Linked DNA regions of Arabidopsis thaliana. The protein of the gene in region 1 interacts with the protein of each later gene in a pairwise test. Each region holds a gene or a part of one and is shown in the gene's direction. Other genes may lie near its edges.

Region 1 (5,649 bases):
AGATCAAGTGCGAGAGCACCAGAGGCAGTCACTTCATGAACTGAAGCTGAAATGTTAGAGGTAACATGGTCAAAAAGCTCCCTTTCCTCATCAGAAGTATCCATCAGATTCCATAGATCAGTTAGCTGAGTAGCTAGTTCTTGAAGCTGCATAAAACCAAGATACATTAATGAAATCCACAAACAAGAATGGTGCAGAGAAAAGTTACAAACTTTCAGCGCAATTAATCAGAAAGGATTTCAACATATGTGCAGCCTAAACTGACCAAGCTCATGTCAGAGATCACAAAGACCATGATTTTGACTAACCTTCTTAAGTCTTTGCATTTTATCTTCTTTAAGAGTCAAGACAGTCTTAGCCAACCTTGCAAGTGTTTCATTGCTAATGCTCTTGGTTTGAACACCATTTGCCTCATCTAAGCTCGGATGAACTTCGGTGACAGTGCTTAAGAAATCTAAACGAAGGACGGCACATAGATCATGCACCGTGCTCACAAACTCGAGCACCTTCTGTAACCTATCACTCTGCTCAAACACAAAGCAGTTTTAGTTCTGGTTTGAACATAGGCCACACATAACCATATCCCAACTAATATTTTACCTTCTCTTTCTGGAGCTCTTGGAGTTTCCTCTGGAAGTCATCTAATCTCTTTAGAGACAAGTCAGTCTCATCAACCACATGAGGTCCATTGTTCAATCCGCCAGCGATCTCCTCACATATCTTCTGAATCTGTGATTGTACATCAGAAAATGCCCGGACCCTTTCCTCTTTCTGTTGCCAAAGTTGTTCAAGCGCAGGTGCTATTGCAGAAAGTTGTTCTTTGATCGTTCCTGAAGTCTTATCAGGCTGCAATGGAAACAAAGACATTGAATCACACTACACTGTAACCATCTCATCTCTTTACCACTTGTAAGACGTGAGATTACTTACAATGTCGATATAGCTTTTTTCCCCGAGAGCAGTTGTGAGATTGGAAAGTTCAACAGTGGCATCTGACAAAGTCTGAAGAAGCTCTGCACGAGATTTTGCGGCTAGCTCAACTTTCTTTTTGTAAACATTCAGACACTCTTCCTCAATCTGTAGAAGCAGTTTGTCTCGTTCTTCATCACTCTCCCCAACCTCATCCCAGATTTCCTGTAACAAGTTTGTACATTGAGTTTGTGGAACCATATATTAAAAGGATAAGTGTGTATGTTGCGAAATCTACCTGCAACTTCTGTAGTAAGGTGCCACAAGTGATTTCACCAAGAAGAGGATTTTCTGCTTCTGTCACTGCCATTCTTGTGAAGTCAAAAGGTTTCCTACAAAAGTAGAAACAACGAACATATTTAGTGAAGATCCAAACTAACTATACACTAAAAGAAACCAAAGTTGCAATCTTTTTTAGAAAACCAAATTGAATCAGAAACAACATTTTGAACTTGGGAACAAAAACACATCAAAGAACTTAGTGAAGCTAAGAATGTGAAACTAAGCTCAAGAAAAGCTCGAAAGGAACTTCAAAGAAATCAAACAGCATTGGTGATAAAACCAAAGCCAAAGCAAGAAATCAACATTGAAGAAGTAAAGAGGCAATGAGCTGAAATGAAACTAATCGAATCCAACAAGTAGAAGATGGCTTTCTTACCTTAATCGATATTGAATCCAAATGGTTTATCTTCCTCTCTTTTAGATCTGAAGCGACGAATAGTCACTGTGAGAGTAAGAGAGAGAGAGAGCATAGGAAACAGAGAAATCTCCAACTTTGGTTATGGAGGTTGGGAAATGGGAAAAGTGGGACCCATTTTACGGAACTCAATAATTAATGAGGAAAAAACAACAGCAAAAAGGTGAGAGACCCTGTCTTTTCGCGTTATTTACTGATTTGACCACTGATCTCACAGACCTCGTTGACTCCTCATGCTCATGTCTGAATAGTTAAAAGGCTTTCCTTAATGGGCTTAAATATCTGACCCAGCCCAAACAGATCAAGACAACACGTGTCACTCATTCCGGGTTTAAACATGAAGCAGCGACATGAATAGTTTATTGGTTCTCTCTTCCGATGATTTGATGAAACCTCACCGCTAAGTGCTCATCCACCACCTTCCTCCTCCTCCTTCTTCCCTCACCTTTTGAGTTTCTTTCTTCACGTTTCTTTTCATTAATTAGGGTTTCGCATTTTCAATCACCATCATCCCACCACGTTTTCGTTAATGTAAGTTCATTCTCTTTTTTCTACTTGTCATGATCCCATTTTGTTGCAATGTTCACTTATGAAATTTATCCTTTGTATGTGAATCATCACGTTTTGCTTTGATGAATCATTTAGATTTCTAGGCTTACACATTCAAATCTAAATCCTCTATTATATGCTTGTTACACAAGTAATCTCTCATCAGATATCAATGTGTGTGTTTCATTAAGACGTGTATAAGCTCGAGTTATGGTTGACATTTTGAAATTATAGATCAACCCCAAATTCATTTCCTCGGATGTATAAAGAAACCCAGATCATCATGATTAACTGAATTTCAAGAACTCAATCCAGGAACTGAGAGCATTTCCTAGGGATCTCAATGGCAATGGAGAAAGATCTCAGTCCAAATTCTCCACGGATTAGAAAGCTAAGGGATACTAGTTACCCTACTACACCAACGTCTCGAATGAATACTAATAACCAGAGAGATAACCATTATCCCAACATTCCTAATTCACCAAGGGATTACAATTATACTCCTAGCTCTCCAACAGCTCGCATTCGACACCGCAGGCGATCAAGCGAGGTATCTATACAATGTCATACTCTCTTTTCCGGTTGAATCCAAAATTTGATTGTCTTTTTCAATATTGATCAGAATTTAGCTGAGGTGAACAGAAGCAATGTAAGCAGAGTAAGCAATTTGTTACTTGGTGATAAGAACAAGTACAGATCAATGTGGATAAGGACATGCTCATCTCTCTGGATGCTCGGTGGAGTTGTGTTTATAATCTACATGGGTCATCTCTACATTTGGGCTATGGTTGTGGTTATACAGATATTCATGGCCAAAGAGCTCTTCTTTCTTCGCAGAAGAGCTCATGAAGAACGTCGCTTACCCGGTTTCTGGCTCTTGAATTGGCACTTCTTCTTCACGGCTATGTTGTTTGTCTATGGACGCATCATTCAACAGCAGCTAGTCAACACGGTTTCTTCAGATAGATTCATATACAAGCTTGTGAGTGGTCTTATCAAGTACCAGATGGTTATTTGCTACTTCTTGTACATCGCAGGTTTGTCTGTTTCTTTTTTCTTCACAAAAACAATACTCTCTTTCTTGATTTATTAACAGCTTAAGTTGGATTCAGGTCTCATATGGTTTATCCTTACATTGAAGAATAAGATGTATAAGTATCAGTTTGGGCAATACGCTTGGACACATATGATCCTTATCGTTGTCTTTACTCAATCTTCTTTCACCGTCGCCAATATTTTTGAAGGGATCTTCTGGTACAATGGACTCTTATATATATCCACTGAAGCATAATAGTTTTCCCGAGTGCTAATTTCTTTTAAATATGCAGGTTTCTTCTACCAGCAGCACTGATTGCTATGAACGATGTAGCAGCTTACTTCTTCGGTTTCTATTTCGGGAAAACTCCGCTCATCAAGTTGTCTCCAAAGAAAACATGGGAAGGTTTCATCGGAGCATCAGTTGCAACTATAATCTCTGCATTTATTGTAATAACCTTCTTCTATCATTTATTCATTCGTTCGTAACTCTTTCTTTTGGTCTCAAGACTGATAGATTATTATCTGCTTCGTACAACAGTTTGCTAATGTCTTAGGCCAGTTCCAATGGCTTACATGTCCAAGGAAGGTAACAAAAAGTGATATCTCCATCACAATATTTTGTCTCGGCCTTTACTTCATCCTTGTGTTGCATATCTTTTGCAGGATTTATCAACTGGTTGGCTTCATTGTGATCCAGGCCCTCTCTTCAGGCCAGAGTATTACCCATTTCCCTCTTGGATTACTCCATTTGTAAGCAATTAACTGTCCTCTCGTGAAAACCAGCCGATGATGTTGTCTTGTTTTGAAACTGAGCTCCGTTGTGAACTTTGCTTAACAGTCTCCATGGAAAGGGATCTCGACCCTGCCTGTCCAATGGCATGCTTTTTCTCTCGGTCTATTCGCATCCATTATGGCGCCTTTTGGTGGCTTCTTCGCAAGCGGTTTCAAAAGAGCTTTCAAGATCAAGGTTAACACATTTTTCAAACATTAAAAGGTTTTGTATCTACAGATCCAAGAACAAATATTTACTAGTTTATGTCGCTTTGACAGGATTTCGGAGACAGCATACCAGGACATGGAGGATTTACTGACAGAATGGATTGCCAAGTAAGAGTCACTAACGTCGAAAAGTGCAATATGATCTTTGCATCGTTTTAAACGAATCTTGTTGCCTAAATGCAGATGGTTATGGCGGTTTTCGCATACATCTACATCCAATCTTTCATTGTTAATCGGGACTACAGTGTCGAGATGATCCTAGACCAGGTAAGAATCATCATATAAGCCAAGAATACGGAGGCATTGTAAATAATTGATTGTATTATACCTGCAGATATCGAGGAGCCTGGGACACGAGGAGCAGAAAATGCTTTATGAAAAGCTCGGAGACATTCTTCAACATAAGTTGCAAGGGAGGTTTTAAATAGTGAGTGCAAGTTTTGTGACTCTGTTTTCAGCTTCTTTCTCTATGGTTAGTTTCTGGTTGTATCAGACCATGTAAAACCTTGATTTGTATCTGATTTAACTAATCAAACAGAGACTTGGTAATAGTGTGCGAGTAGAAGAGATGTAAAATGATATTTTCCTCGTTCAATTATAGCATGGAGATAGAGAAAACAGACACAGAAGCAGGATTTCCCCTGCAAATGCCATGTCCAGCAACTTATGGGAGATCTTGTTCATCTAATGAATAACCAAACCACAAAAGAAAACTATGACTCGAAGACTCGAGAAGATGTTAATGGAAACATAGAACCGTAACAAAATTTATGAAAACCAGCTGACTTCTTCTTAAGCATCAGACTCTTTCTTTTCTTCTTGGTTCTCTCCTCCCTGGGTAACACCAACCTCAGCTGGTCTTATAACTCGGTCATACAGCGTGTATCCAGACTGCACATATTGACACCCATCATTACTAATTGGTATTTAAGACTATACAATATGAAATAAAGAGACAAAGAATTGAGCAAGCTTTATATATTTACCTTCAAGACATGAGCAACTGTGCCTTCTGGCTTAGAAGCATCAGGGACTTGGAACACTGCGTTATGTCTGTTTGGATCAAATGGCTCGTTTATAGGATCATACTTCTCCATACCAAATTTCTTAAATACCTGCAGCGGCACACATGTTTAACCGGTCTCATCTGCATTGCTTACTTAAGGTCTTATAATTACATTTCTCGATATTTACCTCAGCAAGCTGTTTCTCAGTCATCTCCACTCCTTCTAAAAGGGTCTTTAATAGTGGAGCTGCTCCAGCAGAATCTTCTGAGGTGTCAAGCTTTGAGAAGCTTTCTTTGACAACCGAAGAAGCTCTTCCAAGATTATCCGCCACATCCAATAGGCTCTTTGCAAAATTCTGCATACATATATAGTGAATATATATATTTCAGA
Region 2 (4,236 bases), on another chromosome or scaffold:
AAATCTGGTGCTCCTCGATTCCTCTCTGTTTCCCCTGTTCTTGCTCTGTTTCTTGTTCTTCCTCTGTTTTTCTCCTCTCTGCATTTATCTTTAATCACAGCGTTTTTCCTCACATGGCTTGCTAATTTCAAACTCATCCTCTTCTCCTTCGATAAAGGTCCTTTAATCCCAATTCCAACAAATTTCCCTCGATTCTTCTGCTTCACTTGCTTCCCCATCAAGGTTCAGCAAAACCCTAAATCTCAAAACCATTTGCCCAAATTGGTTTTCGCCATTAAACTTGCAATCTTTGCAGTGCTATTACATTTGTATAGCTACAGACAAAATCTGTCTCCGACTATACTATTAGGTCTCTATTTTGTGCATCTCTACTTAGAGATTGAGATTATATTAACGTTTGTTAAAGTTGTTGTTTTTATCTCTCTTGGCTGCGATCTTGAGCCACAGTCCAATAAACCGTACTTAGCCACATCTCTACAAGACTTCTGGGGTCGCCGGTGGAATCTCATGGTTCCGGCGATTCTCCGGCCAGCCGTTTACGCACCAATGCGGCGAGTCTCTGAACGCAAAATGAGTTCCGGTTGGGCTCTGTTTCCGGGGATTTTGGCAGCGTTTATCGTCTCCGGTTTGGTTCACGAATTGCTCTTCTTCTATTTGATACGTGAGATGCCTACAGGAGAAGTTACTCTGTTCTTTGTGTTACATGGCGTTTGTACTGCTGTAGAATTGGCGGTGAAGAAGAAAACGACGGTAGCACAGCGGTGGCGGTTGAGTCCGGGGGTGTCGCGGGTTCTCACGGTGGGGTTTGTGTTTGTGACTGGTGGTTGGTTGTTTACACCTCAGCTTAAAAGGAGCGGGGTGATGGAGAGATTCACATCTGAAGCTGTGTTGCTCGTTGAGTTCATTAAGCGATAAGTTATTTTATTTACGTTGTTGGGGATATTTTATAACGAGTGTTAAATGAGCACGAGTTAACGTTATTGAGTCCGGTTGAGCATCAAAGTCCATAATGGTCAACTACTTATCTTGAAATGAATCGAACTTGTCTTGTTGAAGATGTCGGCAAGTTGGAATTAGTAGAAACTCTTTAAGATGCTGCCAGCATGTCTCTTGGTCTCTTCATGCCGTTTCTTTCTTTCTTATCAAACCCTAAAAAAACTGACTTGCTTCAGTTCCAAGTTCGTTGTACATGACGATTTGTTTTTACTTGGAACTAAAGAATGAAATAATAGTGTTACTTGGAACCAAACCAACACTTCCTATCGATCGATCAATTTTTGTTCCCTCGACTACTGTTTGTGTCATGTTCACGTGAACCCTTTGTAGAGAGATTATCTAAATACAACATAGTTGGGAGGAAAGATCGCCAAAGAGCGTTAGCGAGAGGAAGAAAAAAACTATATGGATTTCCCATATAACGTCAAGCATAGGTCAAAATGTTTACTCTGCTGTCAAATTATTTAAGAAATAGAAGCTTCATTGCTCCCTCATCGGTAGAATTCGTCAACTTATTGCAGGTTTTGAATCATTCAAATTCTTTAGTTCCAGGCGAAAACGAATTTTTATGATATATTGATATTGCTTGTGTAGTTGTGTTACGAGAGATGGGTGCGTTTCAACTCGTACTTAGAACGGGAGGTCCCGCATGGCTTCATAATCGCATTAAGGAGAAACGACAACCTTAGTTTTATTTCACTGTTTTTTACGAGTGTTAATTATGCTCTGCTCTGCTAACTTTTTCATAAAAAAATTCAATATTTAAGACGTTGAAAAGAAAAACTATAAACGGTAGTCATACTTATTTTTTTTTATTTTTACATACACTACTAGTACTATATTACTATATCATAAAAGAGGAAAGTACTTAATTTGATAGATTTTCCAGAGCCATTAACTACTCAACAACTGCCAATAGTTTTTTCCCTTAAATGTGTAACAAACATACTGTCTTTATTAATTGCTCCCACGCTTATATACTACAACTGTAAACATTTTTCCTATGTTTCTTGGTTTATTATCACTTAACCAGTAACCATGGAGGAAGAACTCAAGTTATTCATCCAAGTATGGGTTTCTGCAATCATTTCAGTAACTTATTGTTACTACTTAACACCCAAAATCAAAACCAGTCTTCTTCGATTACTATCTGTTCTTCCTGTTTGTGTTTTGTTTCTTATTATTCCTATCTTTTTCTCCACTGTTCATTCCTCTTTCACTATTGCATTTTTCCTCTCAGGTCTTGCAGTTCCAAAACTCATCCTCTTTGCATTAGAAAAAGGTCCTCTTTTTCCACTTCCTCCTAATCTCCCTCATTTCGTCTGCTTTGCTTGCTTCCCCATCAAGCTTCAAAAAAAACCTAACCCTGAAAATACTAACCATTTCCCCAAATGGGTTTTTGCCCTGAAAGTTTTCATCTTTGGTGCCTTGTTACTACAAGCGTATCATTACAAACAATTTCTATCTACGAATTTTCTATTGGGTCTCTATGCTCTGCATATATACTTGGAGCTTGAGATTTCCTTAACCTTGATAAAATTTCTCGTCAGTATCACTCTTGGGTGTGACCTCGAGCCACAATTCAACGAACCATACTTAGCCACCTCTCTACATGACTTCTGGGGTCACCGATGGAACCTCATGGTCTCGAAGATTCTCTGGCTCGCAGTGTACAACCCCATACGGCAATGGCGAGCCAAGAGCTCCGAGTGGGATCGGTTCTTCGCGATTTTCGCCACGTTCCTCGTCTCTGGTGTGGCTCACGAGATTCTCTACTTCTATTTGACACGTGAGAAGCCTACATGGGAGGTGACTTGGTTCTTTGTGTTACATGGGTTTTGCATGGCGGCTGAAGTGGCACTGAAGAGGAAGACGAAGTTGGTGCAGCGGTGGCCGGTGAATCCGGCAGTGTCGAGACTGCTTACGGTGGGGTTTGTGTTTGTGACTGGTGTTTGGCTATTTTCCCCCCAGCCTATTAGGCACGGCTTGATGGAGAGGTTCATCAATGAAGACTTGTTTCTAATTGATTTCTTTAATCGTAAGTTATATATCCTCTTAGGGTTGTTTACGAGTCTTTAATAAATGGGAAAATTGGAAACAAAGGATAAATATTTAAAGAAAGAGATGGTAAGATTCTAAGAGAAATTGAAGCGAGGGAAATAAAGAAAGATAAATTGAAAAAAAAAGAGTTTTGTTTTGGAGTTATTTGAGAGGAGTGAACAGCTTAATTTTTGTGAAGAATAGAGGAAGACAATATCGAAGAAGTGATGAACGACGACTCCAAGTAAAAGAATATTGATTTGCTCCAAGTAAAAATAAATTGGTTTGGACTTTTTGTTTTGTATTTTGTAAGCATAAAAAAGCTGGAGATATAGTGGGATTTAAATTATATTAAACGCATATGTCACCAATCTTGATCATAAAATGTATAGATGGAAATTTTTTTAAATATTTATCTTTTATTTCCAATTTCCCCTTAATAAAATTTACATGTTTATTTATCAAAGTTGTTTTGTTTTCGCTAAACTATCTTACAAATAAATTAATAGGTGTTGAAGACAAAACTTCATTTTTCATCTATCCTAAAAATAAAGAAACCTGAAAAATATGGCAAATTTACTAAAAATATTCCGGTAGAGTAGTAGTCTTTTTGAATAATAGTATTTTTCGAAAATTGGTACATCTAAGATTCAAAAGGGGTATTTCATGAAAATTCCTCATATATTTGTCTATACTAAAAATATAACTTTATAATAATTTGATGAAATAAATCGGTGATTAATATTTTTGGACAGTTAGGTATACTGGTCTAGTGTTAAACTTGACTTGAAGTTGAACCATGTGAATTCTCCCATACGGAGAACTACCACCTTACACCGATAGTCTCAACTAAACATGAACCATAAACTCTTTGACAATTTCTCACTTTCTTTTTATTTTTCTTCTTTACTTTGAATATTAATTAGTTGGCTGTTGGCACGCTTTTGGTTACTCATCTAATTCACACTATATCAAATCACATTACAGAGAGGCGTTTGAAGAGTTCTGATTTTTATTTTTTTTTATTTTTGTGTAAACAGAGAAAGGAGTCAAGGACTGATTCTAATACTGATATAACGGAAGTAGTGGGTAAGTTGTAGTTGTAGCAAAAACCAATGTTACTTGCTTAAACTCAGCAACCCATTAACAAAAAAAAACTGAGAGATGGAGGAAGAAATCAAGAGCTTGATCAATGTAGGG
Region 3 (3,534 bases), about 12 Mb from region 1:
CAAAGATTCATAAGAATATCAATCTTTCTCTTTAGTAGAAGTGAACTACAGAGGTATAATGATTAGGGCATAACATAATGAGCTCTTACCATACTCGGTACTCGGTGGAATCCGTGATACGTCTGATATATAAGCCACTTTACTTTTATCGCCGAAGAGGAAACCTAAAGCAATGTAGTCCTCTCCATGCATCACCTAAAGCATAACTAACATTGTTGAGTCTATAAGGTCTCATGGAAGAATTAGACTGTTTTGATTTCTCAAAAGTGAAAAGAAATTTAACCGGAAGAGGCGTGAAAGATAAGCCCGAGGCAGCGAATGGTTCGTCACAATTCTCTTCGATGTTTTTCCAGTCAAGAAGTGAAACTCGTCTAGGTACTTCTTTTACCTTCTTTTCAACCAAATAAGGAAACCTTGTAGCAATACTGCACAATTTTTTGTTGCCTTAAAAGTCTCATCAAATGCTAATTTGAAAAGCTTTAAGCCAGAGTTGAGATAGAGAACACTAATCGAAGATGGTACCTCTCCATTGTAAATTGAGATAGAAAGACGGGAAGTGGATCGGTATCAACAATAGTTGCACCACGAGGTTGAAGAGATCGAATTTCATCTAAGCCATGAACCGCATCTGCGTGCTCATGAGTTAGAATGATCTACACAAAATCATACAAGCATTAGTCAGTAAAAGTTAGATTTCATTTCAGAGAAAAAAATAGATGCAAGAGATCAAGAAGATAAGTATATAAAGGGCTTAACGGAATCGACTCGAGGAATCTTATAAAAGGTAAACCAACGAAGGACTTGCTCTCTAAAACTCTTGCCAACATCAATAAGTATGTACTTATGTCTACCATCTTCTTCCTTGCTGCAATAATCAATCAAGAGCGATGTATTGCATCTGCCAAAAAACAGAGAATCAAGATTCAAGAATGTTCACCAAACCCTAATATATCTGAAATAATTTCCCAAGAACACTAGAAATCGGATGGTTCATTTTTACCTAAAATGGATTAAAACCTAAACTCCAACACGAATATAGACAACAGTAGATGTCTCTTTTTTCAATCAAAACTCCCAACTTCAAAAGGGTCTTTACGGAAAGCAACAAGATTTGACATTTCACAAATCTCCACAGCTTCAAAGACCAAAACCCAAAGAGAAGAAACTGATGACAAGATTTACCTGTAGTTAGGGTTAAGGTGAGGAAGTAAAGAGAGGGACTGAGAACAGACATGGCAAGGAGGATCTGACGGCTGGAGTAAGCATCTGAAATCGGGAACTGCACCGGAGCAGCCTGTTCCAAGAAAGATCAGAGCCGTTCCATCATCATCAGATTGATTCTTCTCCATCTTCTCAAGATTCTGATCTTCTGGTTGGTCTAGCCAAAGCTGATTAATGCCAACGGCTATATCTTTGTTTATTGTATTAGTTGAGATTATATGCGATCCCTTACACAAACTTGTCTTTTTCACAGTATATATATTCCTTTTATTAACATAAAATATCTAAGCCATTACTTTGAGTCTTTGACACTGATATATGTAGTCATAATGATATTGACTACTAATTTTTCCAAACAAAATAGTAAAAGATTAATGACTTACCCCACAAATCCACCGGATTGTGATTTTTTTTGTTATATATCATTGTTTGACTCCTCTAAATTAGAAAAAAATCTTCTACATTTCTTTTTCTGTATAACAAAATCTTAAATTTAAATCGTTATGGTAACGAAATCTTTTCTTTTGTTTTTCCAGTTTATTGATTAAATATACTTCCACAGAATTTAAATTTACTTAATTATTAAAAACAATGCAGTCACAATCTTTCCAATTACCATTTCATTATCTCACAAATTCGACCAAATGTTTTTCATATTTCACAAAAAAAAATATATTAAAGCGCGTGTGAACCATAACCACGCGATTGCCAGCTCAAAAACAAATTCACAAAGAAGCGTACACGACACGCGCTACGACTGAGTGTAAGGATTCTCATAAACTGCTCTATTTTATTTTGCTCAGTCGCAGACAAATCTCAAAACAGATTCGATCGATAAGCAAGAACTTCCAATCTCTAATGGCAGATCAAACAGAATCTCCAAGATCGTATCATATCTTCATCACAATCATGAGTAAAAGACGGACATGGGTTTGTCTCTTCATCGCTGTCTACGCAATTCTCGTATCTTCTTCATGGAACCTCCTGAGATCAGTTCTTAACTGGTACAAGCTTCAATACACGTCATCAAATTCAGATTATTCTCCTTCAAGATTACCGGCGGTATACGCGTCGGTGGTGCTCGGTGCGATGTTTGGAGCTATGTCGATGGTGGCTGCTATGACGGTGGCGGTTCCGGCGGTGATGGTGATTTGGATATCGGTGGTGGTGTTGCTTGCCTTCTTTGGGAAATCAAGAAGAGTTTTAGTGGTTGAAGGAAGGAAGATTACGAGAGAAGTTGTCGGATTTGTGTTTAAGGTTCTTTTGAAAGAAGGCAATGTTGTTGCTGCTTTTTGTGCTGTTTTAGCTTATTTTCTGCTTATTAGAAGAGATTTTGACTCATATTAAGGTTCTTGATTTTTAGATTATTTAGGGAATTTTGATCTAGATTATCTTGAGTCACTCCCGAATGTAAATGTAAAGTTAATTTAGAAAATCAATTGTTAGTAGTAGAATGAAGAAGTTCATGATGCATTGGCTCAATTTTTTTTGTTTGTGGTTAGATAATTTTTCTTGATGACAGCATTTAGTATCTAGAATGGATCGTCCCACAACTTCTCATTTGAGATATTGAAAATCATGATTTGTTATCCGTTTGTGGGTTCATTGCCACACAATTTCAACACATGGACCAATAACCAAGTGATTTACATATCCTATTAAGTTTGTTATCAGTTTTCACTATTTAAGTTACCCGGTTATTATTTTAGTAGCTTAAAACTACATCAACTAGTTGAAGAGGCATGTTTTGCGAAGATAAGATCATATAATAATGGGTTACACAACTTCTTTCTTACTCAAATTCCTTCTTGAGGAAGGTGTAACATTCCAACATTGAAGTAGTGGATTTCACACACTGATACTTATTTTTATAAGTACCTTTCTTGATAAAAAGAATTCTAATACCTCAACTAAAAACTCTAATTTGGGGAAAAAAATTAATGTCTGCAAACCTTTTATAACAAAAAATTCTAAGAACTCTAAAATCATGAAAATGCGTGAATCTTTTTGTCTTTGGAACATATATTGTTGAACTTTTTTTTTTAACTGAGCAAAAAAAAGAATTTTTTTTTGAAAGACCAAATTGGATGACAATTATGTTAAATTTCACATGTTTCTAGGATAATAAGGTAATTTAAATACCATCGCTCGGTCTAGAGAATTACATCTTAGGATTTTGGGATTTCAGATAGAGGATTAGGGTTTAGTCGATCATCATGGTCCTCAATCAGTGTGCAAACGTGACGATGATAGAAGAAAAGTTGAGCAAGTTGATGGAAGAAATCGAATCTGTGGAAGCTGATGAGAGCGAAG
Region 4 (3,538 bases), on another chromosome or scaffold:
TTAGCCTGTCAACCAAATGGCATGTGAGTTCCTTTTTTACACTTTCTTTTCTACTTTAGACCAGTTCAACAATATTATAGGTTACAACAAATGTAGTCATATTTGTATGGTTAAACTCTTTTGACAAAAATAATTTGGATCCTAAATTTTTTGCTATGTTTCTATGGGTCATGTGCAATAGAACACTATGCAAATGTCCAACAGCAGCACTGACTCTGTAGCATGCTTATTTTAGGTCTGTTTACTCAGTTGGTTGCGGTTTGGGAGGCAAACTTGGTCATGGGTCAAGAACAGATGAGAAGTATCCTCGGGTCATCGAGCAGTTTCAGATATTGAATCTTCAACCTAGGGTAGTTGCAGCGGGTGCTTGGCATGCCGCGGTGGTAGGTCAGGATGGAAGAGTGTGCACTTGGGGTTGGGGAAGATATGGATGTTTAGGTCACGGTAACGAGGAGTGTGAATCAGTCCCTAAGGTTGTTGAAGGTCTAAGCCATGTCAAAGCAGTTCATGTCGCAACAGGAGACTACACTACTTTTGTGGTCTCAGACGATGGTGATGTTTACTCGTTTGGCTGCGGCGAATCCGCTAGTCTCGGTCACCATCCATCCTTTGATGAACAGGTTAGTGATTGGCCATGGCCTCCATTGTTTCTTTTGCTTACATTATATGTTCTAAACTTATGTTTAGTCGTATGTCTGGTTTGATTTTTTGTTGCAGGGTAATCGACATGCAAACGTGCTAAGTCCAACGGTAGTAACATCGCTAAAACAAGTGAACGAGCGGATGGTCCAGATAAGTCTAACGAACTCCATATACTGGAACGCTCATACATTTGCGCTCACGGAATCGGGGAAGCTATTCGCGTTTGGTGCAGGCGATCAGGGTCAGCTTGGAACAGAGCTTGGTAAGAACCAAAAAGAAAGGTGTGTACCGGAAAAAGTGGATATCGATCTCAGCTAGCTAGCTGACTTATGTGGTTTGGTTGGTAAGAAACTACGTTTGACATCAAGGAAACAAAAACGCAAGAAAATTTGCGTTTGCTTTTTATGTTCATAAGACTTGGAAGCTTGTACAAAAAGGGGAATAACATAAACTTGTCTTTAACATTTCATTGTATAGGGTTTTTAGATTATTCTAATTGTTCATTGGTTAAGTTTTAGGTTATGTTGTTAATAATTATCAAATAATTTCATTAAATCAAATTATTGTCAGATTCAATTTCTACCAAATTTTTATTTTATTTTCTGTTTTCATATTTGTTGGGTTTACATCTATATATACATTTTTGCAGCCATTTTGTGATTTACATTTATATATACATCAATAAATCATGGAGTTGGAACTTATTTACAATGGTTACCACTGGCTTATTCAATGCGAAAATTAACTATCAAATAAAAGCAAATCTTATTCAAAAGAATATGCTCTTATTCCATGGCCTAGTTATTTTTGCCAAAATGGTTAAAATATTTAAAAATTAAATAATTATTTGAAAGAAAACTTTAAATTGATTTAAATTATAAATCTTTTAATAAAAATATTAATAAAAAAATAAAATAAAATAATTTCACCGAACATGATTAGATAGTAGGACTAGATGGTATGACATGTTTATAATATTATAATATATAAACTTTATAACAATTAAATAAATATTTGAAAGAAAACTTCTAAATTGATTTGAATTAAATATTTTTTAAATTAAAGTATTATTAAAACAAAAATAACAAAATAATGTCTAATTTTACTGAACAGGGTTAGTGGTAGGACGGGTTTGGTCGATAGTATTACGAGACGGTATACCACAAGTGAAATCCATTAGATATGTTTAATTTCATTGTGCATGATTAGATGGTATGACGGGTTTTGATCGATAATAATACGAAACGATATACTACGGATGAAATCCTAGATATGACAATTAAAATCTATATATATATTATCTTAAACACTAAATAAAGCAAACAATATTAATAAAACAAATATCTACATATACATTTTATATAACAAATTTTATTAAAAACCTAGCCCCGCGGTATACCGCGGGTCAAAATCTAGTTAGAGTACTAATATTCTATCGAAGAAAAATCTAAAATCCTATTTCTCAAATTGTTTTTGCTATATTTGATAAGATTAGAATTTAGAAAAAGCTTAATTAGGAGTAGAAGATAATATGTAATTTGCAATTTTTTCCTCAACCTTTAATATTTTTGGCAAAACCTCAAATTGCGTTGAGTCATCTTAGCACTTTGATCAAACAACTATATAAGCAAAGACCCTCATTACACAATTCAAGATAAATAAATAAAACAAAATACCCATAAAACATTTTTCAAAAAAAAAAAGTTTTTTGGGGATTACTAAATAACTAAATTAAAAAATAATGGCGCGTCTTCACCTAGCTCTCCTCCTCCTCTTCGTCGCTATCTCCGCCGTGATCGTATCAGCTGCTGAGAACGAAAAACCACCGTCAACCACCACCGCCTCAGCTCCCACCGCTACAACTCCAACCGATGGCATTGGAGGTGATATAGCAGAGGGTCCAGCTGATGACAATGCTATTGGAACAACTGACAACGACGATGCAGCTGTTACTCCCGATGATGCCAATGGAGATGATGAAGTGGCAGTCGCCGGACCTATTGGAAGCGATGCTTCGTACGCTAACTATCCTCCACCACAAAAAGAAGCTTCCGGAAGCGATGCCACCGTAGCTTTTGGCTTTGTCTCTGTTGTTGGTGCAGTTGCTGGATCGCTCTTCTTTTTCTAGAGTTGTGATCGGCGCGCGAACTTATTACTATTGTAATAAAAATGTTTGTAATATTTTCTTGTTTTAGATGTATTTTGACGATCCCTTCTTCGATGTAACATTGATTATATTGGGATGATACATATTTAATATACTAATATAAAGAAAGTTTTTTATTTGTGGGGTTAATATATTTCTGCATCTCATAAATTTACAAAAATAGCCCACAATATATGGGCCGTATTTTCTCACAGGGCCTAGCCCATCAACGTGTGAGTAAGCGCGTGTTTTTCACGTCTAAAAACCTCCATATCTTCTCCGCTAGCTCCGGAATAGAAGAAATTTTGCAGAGAGAAGCGTCAATGAAGGTCCAACGGTCAACTTTTTTGGCGGTGACCGGAAAATCAAATCTTCATCACTTTCACTCGTCTTCTCAGGTTCTCTTTTCTCTTCTCTGCGTCATCTAAATCAATTAAAAATCGTTCCTTTTGTCACTTCTAAGAATACCCATTTGCAATTGCAGAAAAAAATCTGAACTTTTTCTGATTTCATTGCGTTTTGGGGATAATGTCTTAATCAATTTCAGAGAATTCCCATTACTTCCGAGATCGATTCACGAGAGTTTGTGTCTAAATTACTCGATAGAAAATGGGGATTACAGTGTCCTGCATCTCCAATTCAGCAGATTAGTGTTTCTTCTGTCAAAGGAATCGATAAATTCTCCTTCTTGAACAACACTCGTCCACATCTCGGAGATGAAATGTCGAAGTCGAAGCAAGGATCTTCTTT

Evidence for each region.
Region 2: the proteins of AT4G26770 (region 1) and AT5G55330 interact in a protein complementation assay, tested with the Arabidopsis thaliana proteins (one large-scale study listed by BioGRID).
Region 3: the proteins of AT4G26770 (region 1) and AT4G03600 interact in a protein complementation assay, tested with the Arabidopsis thaliana proteins (one large-scale study listed by BioGRID).
Region 4: the proteins of AT4G26770 (region 1) and AT3G26110 interact in a protein complementation assay, tested with the Arabidopsis thaliana proteins (one large-scale study listed by BioGRID).

The regions. Positions count from the first base shown.
Region 1 is NC_003075.7:13,480,022-13,485,670, forward strand, and holds AT4G26770 (Phosphatidate cytidylyltransferase family protein), read left to right. Parts: upstream 1-2,042; 5' UTR 2,043-2,197; intron 2,198-2,530; 5' UTR 2,531-2,558; coding exon 2,559-2,765; intron 2,766-2,837; coding exon 2,838-3,252; intron 3,253-3,327; coding exon 3,328-3,469; intron 3,470-3,543; coding exon 3,544-3,700; intron 3,701-3,791; coding exon 3,792-3,839; intron 3,840-3,916; coding exon 3,917-4,003; intron 4,004-4,091; coding exon 4,092-4,220; intron 4,221-4,303; coding exon 4,304-4,360; intron 4,361-4,435; coding exon 4,436-4,519; intron 4,520-4,586; coding exon 4,587-4,676; 3' UTR 4,677-4,922; downstream 4,923-5,649. Other genes in the region: MAP65-2 (microtubule-associated protein 65-2), read right to left, coding at 1-146, 309-524, 601-846, 931-1,134, 1,208-1,279; AR192 (Co-chaperone GrpE family protein), read right to left, coding at 5,045-5,143, 5,239-5,367, 5,447-5,614. UniProt on the Arabidopsis thaliana protein: May be involved in the synthesis of minor phospholipids and in modulation of IP3-mediated signal transduction.
Region 2 is NC_003076.8:22,436,664-22,440,899, reverse strand, and holds AT5G55330 (MBOAT (membrane bound O-acyl transferase) family protein), read left to right. Parts: upstream 1-2,015; 5' UTR 2,016-2,034; coding exon 2,035-3,075; 3' UTR 3,076-3,429; downstream 3,430-4,236. Other genes in the region: AT5G55340 (MBOAT (membrane bound O-acyl transferase) family protein), read left to right, coding at 1-915; AT5G55320 (MBOAT (membrane bound O-acyl transferase) family protein), read left to right, coding at 4,201-4,236. UniProt on the Arabidopsis thaliana protein: Catalyzes the final step in the synthesis of long-chain linear esters (waxes).
Region 3 is NC_003075.7:1,602,854-1,606,387, reverse strand, and holds AT4G03600 (pyrroline-5-carboxylate reductase), read left to right. Parts: upstream 1-1,759; 5' UTR 1,760-2,079; coding exon 2,080-2,568; 3' UTR 2,569-2,750; downstream 2,751-3,534. Other genes in the region: AT4G03610 (Metallo-hydrolase/oxidoreductase superfamily protein), read right to left, coding at 90-195, 284-425, 523-653, 757-898, 1,183-1,349; AT4G03590 (Cystatin/monellin superfamily protein), read left to right, coding at 3,438-3,534.
Region 4 is NC_003074.8:9,539,190-9,542,727, forward strand, and holds AT3G26110 (Anther-specific protein agp1-like protein), read left to right. Parts: upstream 1-2,293; 5' UTR 2,294-2,383; coding exon 2,384-2,770; 3' UTR 2,771-2,975; downstream 2,976-3,538. Other genes in the region: AT3G26100 (Regulator of chromosome condensation (RCC1) family protein), read left to right, coding at 1-23, 236-620, 718-960; AT3G26115 (Pyridoxal-5'-phosphate-dependent enzyme family protein), read left to right, coding at 3,112-3,186, 3,336-3,538.